3 linked regions of the Tribolium castaneum genome follow. The protein of the gene in region 2 interacts with the protein of the main gene of each other region in a biochemical or structural test. Links are inferred from orthologs where the notes say so. Each region holds a gene or a part of one and is shown on either strand. Other genes may lie near its edges. The genes, in order: Rack1, hypoxia-inducible factor 1-alpha and HDAC3.

What was found.
Region 1: the proteins of hypoxia-inducible factor 1-alpha (region 2) and Rack1 form a complex in vitro, tested with the Homo sapiens proteins (2 studies listed by BioGRID). The link is inferred for Tribolium castaneum from reciprocal best matches to the Homo sapiens genes HIF1A and RACK1.
Region 3: the proteins of hypoxia-inducible factor 1-alpha (region 2) and HDAC3 form a complex in vitro, tested with the Homo sapiens proteins (2 studies listed by BioGRID). The link is inferred for Tribolium castaneum from reciprocal best matches to the Homo sapiens genes HIF1A and HDAC3.

What each region holds. Positions count from the first base shown.
Region 1 is NC_087399.1:653,546-657,708, forward strand, and holds Rack1 (small ribosomal subunit protein RACK1), read right to left. Parts: upstream 2,588-4,163; 5' UTR 2,518-2,587; coding exon 2,409-2,517; intron 2,257-2,408; coding exon 2,048-2,256; intron 1,845-2,047; coding exon 1,713-1,844; intron 1,283-1,712; coding exon 999-1,282; intron 830-998; coding exon 607-829; 3' UTR 557-606; downstream 1-556. Other genes in the region: mts (serine/threonine-protein phosphatase 2A catalytic subunit beta isoform), read left to right, coding at 3,008-3,091, 3,330-3,443, 3,932-4,163. UniProt on the Homo sapiens protein: Scaffolding protein involved in the recruitment, assembly and/or regulation of a variety of signaling molecules. Interacts with a wide variety of proteins and plays a role in many cellular processes.
Region 2 is NC_087396.1:19,203,089-19,206,739, forward strand, and holds part of hypoxia-inducible factor 1-alpha, read right to left. Parts: intron 2,586-3,651; coding exon 2,362-2,585; intron 2,308-2,361; coding exon 1,965-2,307; intron 1,917-1,964; coding exon 1,648-1,916; intron 1-1,647.
Region 3 is NC_087401.1:11,246,731-11,251,085, forward strand, and holds the start of HDAC3 (histone deacetylase 3), read right to left. Parts: upstream 2,839-4,355; 5' UTR 2,677-2,838; coding exon 2,472-2,676; intron 2,424-2,471; coding exon 1,547-2,423; intron 1-1,546. Other genes in the region: flap endonuclease GEN, read left to right, coding at 3,064-3,221, 3,267-3,546, 3,591-3,744. UniProt on the Homo sapiens protein: Histone deacetylase that catalyzes the deacetylation of lysine residues on the N-terminal part of the core histones (H2A, H2B, H3 and H4), and some other non-histone substrates.

The sequences.
Region 1 (4,163 bases), on a different chromosome or scaffold from region 2:
AAATTAATAAGAAAAAACGAGAATATTAAATGAGTAATTTATTTTTTAAAGTTTGCCAAATAAATAGATATTTTTTGTAGGTATTTCTAAACATATCACACAGAAATGAACGTTTGCTATTAGATACATTAGTAGCTTTTTTACAATTGCTGAATAATATTCATTAATAACACTTAATAGCTAATATTAAATAATGGCTAAAATATTTTTCAAACCCCCAAAAAGTTAACTAATTTAAATTAAATGGCTCTTGTACAAGAAAAAAAATCACTTGTTAAAGCTCAACTAAAGAGACGGTTAATTAAAAAAAAATATAGTGTAAAATGGCGTGTTATATGCAACCTAATAAACACAAAATCCAACAACAGACGATATATACGCGACCACCAATACACATTTGTGTATTTGGTGAAATACTCAGTAAAAAGTTACTTCATAGCTTCATTCACAGGACATCATAATTGGATTTTTAATCAAACAAAAGAATTTGTTTTCATAACTTTATTTTGTAAAAAATACAACTTAAATCTTATAAATATGTATAAAGAAAATAATATAACTTATTTCCGGATTTATTTATTATTATTATAAAAAATACATCAAGAATTAGTGGGCAGAAATGCTAACTTGCCACACCCTGATAGTATTATCAGAATAGCCAGCAAACAAAGTTTGCCCATCTGTCGACCACGCAAGCGAAAGACACTGTGGTGGTTCAGCCTTGCTAAGCGGTTGCGAGACAACTTCTGGTCTAAGTTCCTCAACCATTTCCTTGCTCTCCAAATCCCAGATCTTGATAGAGGGTCCAAAAGCGGCACACAACCAATACCTTTAACAACGTTCTTCTTAAACAAATCCTAACAAACGAAACGTTTGAATGCTTCAAGCAAAAAAAAATCAGCCCCATATCCGCTAACCTCTCATAGCCAATCAAGTGGTTAAGTTTTGTGTCATCATTTCACAATCACACCGAAATAATAAATCACATCGATTATTACCTGTTTGGCGAAAAGCACAAAGCCGTGATGATATCATTATGGTCAAGTGTGTGCAAGTGTTTGCCATCGTTAAGATCCCAAAGCATTGCTTTGCAATCTTTACCGCCACTTGCACACAAGCTACCATCAGGAGAAACAGTCACAGTGTTCAAATAACCGGTGTGACCTGAATGGTTGATCTTGAGGCGGCAGTTGGTCAAGTTCCATACTTTGACCATGCGGTCCCAACCCGCCGACACGATGATGGGGTTCGAGTGGTTGGGCGAAAATCGCACGCAAGAAACCTAACAAAAAAGCTTAAATGGCAAACTTCCTTTTTCTTCAAATTTACAATTTCATTCACAAAACAAAAACAATAAACAACTAGGCACTGTTTTCAACAATATTTCCGCTGATATTTCTATTTATCTTGATGACATTGCACACGTAACTCATATTTTAAAGCTATTTAATAAAAAATTTCATGCGAGACACAAATTTAAAGTTTATACAGATAAAGAAATAGCTTCTAATAAATATTTAATTAATTTAATGTCCATATCATCCATACCGTCAGAAAATGTAGATTATAAAAAAATAGTCGCCACCCTTTTTTTTCAGTAAATTTAACAACTTTTAACAAGAAAAGAAAAAACATATCTACTACTAATAATGCAGCACTCGCCGTGCTCGTGTTGTAAAGAACTCACGTCGGAAATTTCTCCGAACACTTACCCAATCAGAGTGGCCATCGTCCTGGATGGTATACTTGCACTCGGCCAAAGTGTTCCACAATTTGATGGTCTTGTCGCGGGATCCTGACACGATTTGGCGGTTATCAACCGAGAAAGCCACACTTAAGACATCCTAAACAGATACATTTTTAAGTTTTGCGAATGATTGCTAACACACCCATTGGTAGGACTAGCCTAATATGTCTCACGATACTTACACAAGGGGGCCCAACAGTCAACTTCAGTCGCCGTTAATACAAAAAAAACAAAAAATCTTCCGACTGTTGCAACGTGAGATATCAAAACTGTAAAACGGTAAAAATGTATGTTTCAAACCTTGGTATGGTCCTCAAATCGACGCGTTGTTTTCCCAGCAGCCAAGTCCCACAAACGCAAGGTCTTGTCCCATGAGCCAGAAAGGGCGTAATTACCGTCGCTCGACAGGACAACGTCAGAAATAAAATGGGAATGGCCGTACAAACGCTTCTGGGGCACCCCGTAGCATGTCTCGTCACGTGTCAGTTTCCATACGATCAAAGTCTTGTCTAAAACCAACAAAATCGGAAATTATCCACGGGAAACATGCTCCCGAAGGCCAATTTGGCGAAATTGGGGCAAATTTCAAGCGGATGGTTGCGTAATTCACCAATAAATGGGGATTAGAAAGGAGATTATGGGTTAGAATTTGGGTTCTTACCTCGAGACGCGGACAAAATCAAGTCGGGGTATTTGGGGTTGGTCGCAATTTGCGTAATCCAGCCGTTGTGCCCCAAAAGGGTGCCTTTCAATTGAAGGGTTTCGGACATTTTTCAGAGGACCTTCCTCACACAAGACCGGCTCAAAAAGAAAAGGGAACGGAAGAGAGAGGTGGCTCTGCAGTTGCCAACCGAACAAAAACACCCATTACGCAACGAAAAGTCACTATTAGTCACTAGATTAGCTAACCACACCGGTTGGAGGGCCTGGATTTTTTTACGTTTTGCATAATTTGAAAACCAAACGGTTTTTACAACTTTGTTGTAGCCCCTCATTACAATTTGTGCAAAAAGTGGTACTTGAACATTTACAGTTTCCTGTATAGTTGGTTGTACTTCAAGATTTTTTACCTTTGGTCATTTCTAGTACCAAATTTTTGACGATTTTTTTGTGGAAACTGCGTTATGTCACACCTTTTATTTAATTTATCATGTTTTTTGTTATTTGAACCGGCCAATCAAGCGGCGTGGGCAGGGCCTGGGAAACAAACGACCTTGCTTGAGTAATGTCAACAAAGCGTCAAACTGTCTCTTACAAGCAATGAAAAGCCCCCAAACGCAAAAACCGATTAAATTTCGAACTCCGACGTCCGCTGTGTCAATATTATGCGACAAACCGCCCCAGGTAAAATTCTGTCCGTGATTAATGGAGTTCGATTTGAGTTTCCCGGTCGGTGGTGTGAGTGTACAAAGCCGCCGCTAGAGGTCTTATTAAATCCACCACATAATCGCCATTTTGGTGTGTTCATCCGAGAATAGATAAAAACTAAAATAACGAGTAATTTATGTAGAGAAACAAACCGAATTTCGAGCAGTTTAGTGTAATTATTTATGATCTAACTTATTTTCGTGTGTATGACCAGATACCGCTAGCAATGGATGATAAAGCGTCGTGTAAAGAACTGGATCAGTGGATAGAACAGTTAAATGACTGTAAGCAACTATCAGAAAATCAAGTAAAGACACTATGTGATAAGGTAAATATCGCCCCTTTGCCTAGTTTTAGTCCCTTGAATCGATTCGTGTTCGCTCCAATTAACGCAATTAAAGTGTTTATTTTAATTAGCACCGCCAGTTTACTCCTTATTTACAGTCCTGGTTACGTTATCTCTAATAAAATAAGCACTTTAGATCCTTGGAGCCCGATCTTTTATCAGATCCTCTCAAACAAACCACTGATTCATACCGATGATTACGAATGAATCAGTGGCGGCTCGTGGTTAAACCAGGTGAAGAGCTAACGAAATTCAAAATTTACAACCAAATTTCATGTTTTCCAATTCAAAGTCATAAACACAAGCATTCTATCATTCCTAATATGGCCAGAAATTTCCAAAGATGACTGAGAAACTTCACTAAAAAAGGTGACCTGACTTGACTTGACCTGACCGAGCTAAAATTAGGTTATGTTTTTTCTGTCGTCATCAATGAGTCATCGTGTGATGTCATTTTTTCCCTGTTCCAGGCGAAAGAGATCCTGTCGAAGGAGTCGAACGTACAAGAAGTGCGATGTCCTGTAACCGTGTGCGGGGACGTCCACGGCCAATTCCACGACTTGATGGAGTTGTTCAGGATAGGAGGAAGGAGTCCCGACACGAATTACCTCTTCATGGGTGACTATGTAGACCGTGGTTATTATTCGGTGGAGACGGTGACACTCCTAGTAGCTCTCAAAGTTCGATATAAAGAAAGAATAA
Region 2 (3,651 bases):
GATTTGAACGTCATACATAATATTCAATTACATAACATTTGCGCATATCTTTACGAAGATTCGCTAATTAGTAATTATATTTACTTGATAATCCTGTAGAGGTCTCTAGCCCTTGTCGAAAATTTCAATATTTTTCATTAAATTTTTCACAATCAGATTCCAGCATCGTCCTTTAATAAAGAAAATTTTTCTAAGTAATAAATTATATTCATGTTTCAACATTCCTACGACCATATGAGTCAACAAGATGCTTATGATTTTTTTTATAACTTGAATCTTTCAACATTTCATAAATAAAAACACCGAAGCCTTTTAAGTAAATGATTTTCTGTGTGGACAGAAGCCTATTTGTTGAATTTGATCCATTATCTGGATGATTTGATAATTTTAAAATTATCACAGACCGCAATAGTAACACCGAATTTTCATTAAAAAAAATTAAATTTTAACTGATGAAAAAACTCCAACCATTATTATTTTATTGATGCATAAAACATAAGTACAAAAAGCTATTATTACGAAAACTGAATTTATTTTTACGATGAAGTAACAGGAAACGACAAGCAACATTAGATCTGACATTACTCCTCTTTACGAGTTGGCATTCAAACACAAAAAATACTGATTAAAAGGTTAAAGATGTACTAAAGTTTCAGATTTTCTAATCCAACAAAAATGCAACTTTGCGGTGAAAATTCCGTAGGAAATGTGCTTACACACACCTTTAATTAAAGCTGGATGTAGCGCTAAAAAGTTCATTTGAGGGTAAAAAAGGAGTCACTCTTACAAATATCTTTTATTTTCTTTTACAACATGAGCATATAAACAATATGCTTAAAAAATAAATACACAATAATTAATATAATCTAAAAATAATCTTTATAAAAGATTATACATATCACTGAATAATTATTATTGCCTTAACAATAACAAGAAAACTATTTACGATAAATTTATTACACTTTTGACCAAGACCTAGTCACACCGTTGCTCAAAAGTGCGCACAATTAACTGCATTTAATTCGTTACATGGTGTTTCGTTGTTAACAATTTGTACAAATCTATTTTTGTAAAATTTTAAATACCTTCGAAAACATTTAGGTGACGTTTGTGAATACAATGTAAGCGTCCTTACTACAGTCTCTACATGATATGCAAAATAATGAACGATATTTCCTTGTTGTTTGCTGAAATTAGTAACATTTCCGCGAAATACAATGACAGTCAAAGCTTTCTGTAACACCGAGAGTTAAATAGTGAAAATGGGTTGAAGTGGAATGTGGTACATAAATAGAGAGCTTCTCAGATAGTGTTTCCTATCACAGACAATACAGTACGCTGTCTCTAATTATTACTTTTGCAAATTATTGGCAGTAGGAGTAATCTGTTTGGTCTCCCTGATTTCTTGTACTTTGGCAACTCAATAAAGGCATTTAGTTAGGAAGGAGACGCACGGTTTCAAGGATAAGAAAAATCCACTCGCTTTCATAAGAAAATATATCTCTCTTTCCCTCCCGCTATAAATCTAGATTCCCTTTTGTCCTAAACTGAGAGCACAGCGTACTCCACATTGAACATTTCACTTCATCTTTTGGACTTGGAAGGGGTCAGGCAGATGTAGCCGGCTCGAATATCGAAGCCGCTTACCAGAAGGTTCATCAAGACACTGTCACTCGGCTGGCTTATGCAAGCCGCCTTCTGGCCGCCCGAGTCGAGCAACCAGTTGCTCTTGCCCTTCGGGCGGCCCCGGTGGTGGTTGGTTGACATTAACTGCTGCAAAAGCTCTGAAGACATTTTCTCTTTAGGCTCGTTTCGCGACCGCTTTGTGTTTGACTCGTAATTTGAAGTGTTCGATCTTTTGTTTGTTCGCTCTAACCGGGACGATATCGACGACGACTTTCCGTTCATTGCTGAATCTAAAAGCAACAATCAACAAAGTTCGACCAAACCCAACGACTTTTTACTTTTCTTGTTGTAATATTCGTCCACGTCCATGAGCCGATCCGGCGAAATCAACCCTCCGCCGTGATCGTTCGGACGCGAGTGTTTGTTTATCGAAGAGCACAACAACTGTGCCAGACTCGAGCTACTGTCGGGCGAAGCTCTCGACTTTTCGCTGCTGCTCCACATGAGATCGTCTGACATCAGCAGGGGCAGATCGTCGCCCATGTTCATCGTGATATAGGGGGCTTTCGCCACCAAATCCGACTCGTCCTCTGTGTGCAAATTCATGAACGTTGACAAACGATCCTCGTCGCTTAGAGAATCGCTCGGACTATTTAACGAAGGTAAACTACACTCCGAATTCTAAAAAACATGGCATTGAGACTTGCCGATTCCTCCACCGATCCCTAATAATACCTTTGAGAGATTCGGAGATAATAATTGGGGAGAATTATCGTAGGAATCTCTGTACGAAATGAAAGGGTCGGTGGGTTCGTCGGTAAGCAGCGGCTCAAAATTATCTCTGAGCAAGAAATCGTCCAACATCTTGTCGGTTAAAAAGGGGTGATCGTCTAGAGGAACGCAAACGTCGCCGGCTACTGGAGCCAAATGCGTCAAATCGTCAGGCTCGTCCTTCAACACTGTAAATAAGGAAAATTCATTTAGCACATACAGAACGCCAGAAACCGAATCACAGCTCTGATAAAAACATTACAGTTCGACTATTTATATTATTATTATAAATTATTCCATTATGATGATACTAATGTCAAGGCTTCCACGCTATTTATCGAGTTAATTGCTGATTGAAACTACTGGCTCTAAATTTAGAAAGAAAGCACGCAGCCTTGCCAGAAAAACACAATAAAGCCGCTGTTGTCCAAACACCCAATATTTGCGAATTTTTACAATTATGTAACGTTCACATGATTGCGACCTTCGGCGGCCCATTACGAATTATATAATGCAACTGATGAATTTTACGCGCTTCATTCGAAGAATGGAAAACAACATACACATAAACGTCATTTATCAACGTAATTTGTGTCGCAATCACACATATTCATGAATTATGTTAACTGATTCATGTAAGTAGATAATAAATTCGAAGCGACCACGATTGATAAAAGCAATGCAAAATGCAAGTGACGCCTTGTTTAGAACTTTACTCCTGTTGCGGTTATTTTTCCCTTCGAAAAATGCAAATCACGGCATTATAATTATTCAACAATTATGTCCGACATGAATTTCATTGCGTTTCCAAGAAAATAATCTCGGTGAGCACGACGGAATTTTTCGCATCCTTTTTGGCACTTCTCACCTTGAAACATTATGCACATTAATTGGCACAACAGTGTTAATGAAAGTTGCAAAGTTTGATTTGAAAAAAATTGGCCGTAAACTCGAACAAGATGAAAAGTAAACAAACCAATTATAAAATTCCAATTGTTAAACAATTATCTATTTAAGTATAATAATACAAATTAAGGCAAATATGCATGTGGCTCTTCTTATCACTGTGTGTTCTTTTATTGTTTCTTTGATGTTTATTTTCGTTTCTTTTTGTCTTAATTTTTGCACCTCACTAGGTGTGTGACTTGTCCCCATAGACGTGTAAGTGATAACGTGTCACTTGGAAAATATTGAGTGCAATTATAGTACAACCGACTTGACATTTGAAATTATGTAATGAACACTCGTCTAAAT
Region 3 (4,355 bases), on a different chromosome or scaffold from region 2:
TGACCAAAAAATGGGCTTTTTCATTTTATTTTTTAATGACATAGAAGTTTTTTTTTCAAATTCATATACAACGTTGGGCAAAAGTATGGAACCAAGCATTTTATGCTTAAACTATGTACCTTACGAAAAAACTAATTATTAAGTCATCGACTACTTTAAAAATGTGATAATTTTTTAAGAATAAAATTTTTTGAAATTTCTTTTAGTCTACGTGTTATTAATTTTTTTTTCAAATGGCTTCCTCCTATGGCGATTTTTTTGGTAAAAGATTATGTTCTAAAAATAACTTCTACTTTAAAAAAATTAATTTTAAGCCATGTTTTTTTTTTCATAAATTATTATTATTATTTGAACTTAATTTTTTTATAGAAAAATAAACAAATCACGTTTCTAACCGTTTTAAACTCGGGAATGATTCAACGTTAGAACAACACCCAGTTGTAATGAAACTATTTTGTGCAATACTTTTCATAAAAATTCAATTTCAAATTTTGCGTTCAGTTCCACTTCAGACCTCCTTAATATAGTTCAGTGGCGCAGCAAGGGAGATTGTTGGGGGTTGAGAACATAATCATGCAAAATAATTTAAGTTGCAGTAATAAAACAAAACTTTCCAGACAATCATTGTAGACATTCGATTTTTTCTACTTCCGAAAATTCCGAGAAAAGCAACCCACAAAATCCATATTTTCGTTATATTTCAGAAAAATCTTCGGAGAGGTTTTTTGTAAAATAAATGCTACATTTCTGATACCATGGTAGAAATAACTTTTTGAGTAATGACGTTATTTTTTATGAAAACCGACATTTTTAACAGATTACTGTTTTTGATAGTAGGTACACTCCCTTATCTTTCTGGTAATAATAAAAAAATAAAAAAAAATAATATTATCTACACAAAACAAAAAATACCAATATTATTTACCGATTATTTTGCATATATTTTTGAAAATAATTAAAATAGAAACACTTAAACAAAAATATTAAAACAATTACCACCTATAAAATAAGGCAGGAAACAGACAGATAAAGCTTTTTGTGTGAAATTCTTAATAATTTTTGTAGCTACAAAATGTGAGCTATACAACAAATAACCTTGAATTTAAGACAATTTTTTTTACATTATTTTTGCCCCGAACAACATTTCCGAAAAAACATTCAGCAACATATTTATTTTTAGTTAATTTTAAGTGCTACAAGGAACTAAAATAATCATATGCAGGTAAAGAGCTCATTTTTCATTTCTGCGTCGTTATTAGTTTACTAATGAAAAACATATTTTTACGAAGGTAAACCCCCATAAACTCTATCTCTGGCTGCGCCACTGGTATAGTTGTTCAACCTTCAATTGAAGAGTACAGGGGAAAAACAGGAAATAACTACTTTTCAAGAATTTGAACTAATAATGTCATGTAGTTTTTACTATTTTTTTAGCTCAAGTTATAGCCCTCCATAGTCAAAATTAAAACTAATTAACTAAAAAAAGTTGTTTTTCTTTGAATGACGTTCGTCATTTTTCCCTTATACTTATCAATTTAAAAATTACTTAGTAATGGCCTCCAAATACTGGCGACTGTTTGCGTTTTCCTGCCTTGTGACCACCTCAGGATGTAGGGTAAAGTCGGGTGCGAAAAACTCCAAATATTCGGTGTAGGGCAATTCATTTGAAATTTGTTCATCCACAAGTAACGAAGTTTCGTAAGTCCAACACCTCGCGACATTTCTCAGCGTATAACCGCCACCTCCAACCACCAAAGTTGGAACATTCAGACTCTTGACGAACTTAACACACTCCCCGTGCCCTTTGGTACTCAGGGAGAAACACCCCAGGCGGTCGTTGGCCAAGGAATCGGCCCCACATTGTAGTACAATTGCAGTGGGTTGGAAAAATTCCATCACGCTTGAAATGACCGGCTTAAAAACCATCCAATAGCTGGAATCGTCGATTCCTTCCTTCAGCGGCACGTTGACGGAGTAATAACGGCCACTTTCCGCCCCCACTTCGTACATATCGCCCGTGCCCGGGAAGAAATAATTGCCGTATTTGTGGAAACTGACCGTCATGACCCGATCAGTGAGATAGAAGGCTTCCTGGACGCCGTCTCCGTGATGCACGTCGATGTCAATGTATAAAACCCTCGCGTGGTACTTGAGCAATTCTAAAATCCCAATCACAATATCGTTAACGTAGCAGAAACCACTGGCTTCGAATTTCTTGGCGTGGTGGAGCCCCCCTGACCAATTAACAGCAATGTCGCAGTGGTTATTGTTCAGTTTCATGGCCCCCTCGAGCGACGCCCCCGTGTACATGGAGCAGAAGTCAAACAGCCCCCAGAAGACCGGGCAATCGTCCCCCACGTTATAGTGACTCAGATGCTTGGTGAACGCTTGGATGTTCTGCGGCGTGACTTTTTGCAGAAAATCTACAAGTGTGGGGGTTAAGGCAAGTGAAATTACCGTGGTGGCTTTACCGATGTATTCGTCCGAGTGGAAGCGACACATGTCGTGGGCGCTGGCCTTGTAAGGCCGGTAAATCTGCATGTGCTTGTGCAGCCCGTAATTTAACACTAAGCTGTGGATCACAGACAGGCGGTGGGGCTTCATGGGGTGCCCCGTCCCGTAGTGGAAGTTCCCCACGTCAGGGTTGAAGAAGTAAGACACTCGGTGCTTCGACATCACGCCGATAGCTCCTTCCACACGTACAAAAAATACAAAAACAAAACTATAACAACAAGGCGTTTCGTCAGCCAAAACCTATCCTCCGGCATGCTTCCGGATAGCCCCCATTGTGGTTTCTGATAAAACAGCCCCCAAACAAACGTGACGTTTCTGCGCCTCACTACCAACCGAACGACGCAAAAACACCCATTAAGAAATGGTGTTGTCGTAAAGATTATTATCATTAATTACAGAACATATTTCACAAATAAAACTCTGGACGCAATGTTGTTTTTGAGAATAAAGACGAAATTTGCCCATTTGAGTCTGTTTTAAGCGTTTTATCCCCCGATTTTCGTCGAGACTTTGTCACCAACTCCAAAACCAAAATCCCCAAGTTTGAAAATGGGCATCAAAGACCTGTGGACGCTTCTGGCCCCTTTCGGGGAGCGTAAGCCCCTCTACGAGCTGCAGGGCAAGACCGTGGCCATCGACTTGTCGTGCTGGGTGTGCGAGTCGCAAAACGTGACCGAATACACGGTGCAACCCCGCATGTACTTGAGGTTAGGTGACTGACACCGGTTCAAAATTTTGATTTTTTTTTCCAGAAATTTGTATTTCCGCACTTGTTACTTGCTCCTAATGGACGTAAATGTGGTGTTTGTGCTCGAGGGGCGCGCCCCCGAGCTCAAATACAAGACGATCGCCGCCCGCAATGCCCTGCAGTTCAAAGGGGCGAAGCCCAAAAATGGGGCCAAGACCAAGGACAGGTCGAGGTTTAATCACACGTTGAAACGGTGCGAGGAGATGTTGAGTTTGTTGGGGCTTGCGTGTGTGACTGGGGAGGGCGAGGCCGAGGCTTTGTGCGCACAATTGAATGAAACTGGGGTAAAAACATATTTTTTTTTCTAAGGTTCAAGGGGTTGTTTTAGCTCGTCGATGGGATTATTAGTCAGGATTCGGATTGTTTCGCGTATGGGGCACGTGTCGTTTATCGCAATTTTTCCATCTCGCAGCAGGGCAATCAGGCGGCCAAAGGGGGCTCTGTGGACGTTTATGACATCAGTGTGGCCAATGAGCGACTGAGTGAGTCCCCGAATTGCGAATGATTGTTTGATTTTTTTATTTTATTATTATTTTTTTCTGATCAATCCATCAATTTATTATCCAAATATACAATACAGGAATTATTTCGACAATTTTTAAAATATCTGGGAACCTACCAGAAAGATTACTTTAATTACACTTACAATTTTTTTGGTACATCAGAAAAATATTTATCAAAATAATTGGCTAATTTTTCACTGTTGCTAATTTATAAATTACCCACTTTAATAGGGATATTCTCAAAAAATCTGCTACAGCCTATAACTCTTTACATTTCATAGCTAAGAGAGCTAAGAAATAAATTTCTTAAAGATCGTCGAAAGTATGGATGAACAATTTATTTTGTATAAACTTTCGTAGTAAGTAATTAGTAGAAAATTAACAACTGGAAAAACAACACTAGGGCAATAGGACAATTTGAGGAGGAAAAAAAATTGCCTCCTCAAGAAGAGGGAAAAAGTAATGGGTTTCTGTAAGGTTTACATTTAGCTCCGTTAGAGTAAATTTCAGAAAAATTCCCGTTCCTAACACAGAGAGATCTAACACCTGAAAATTTTCTTGAACCAGAACCAGAAAATAGTAAATAGCAA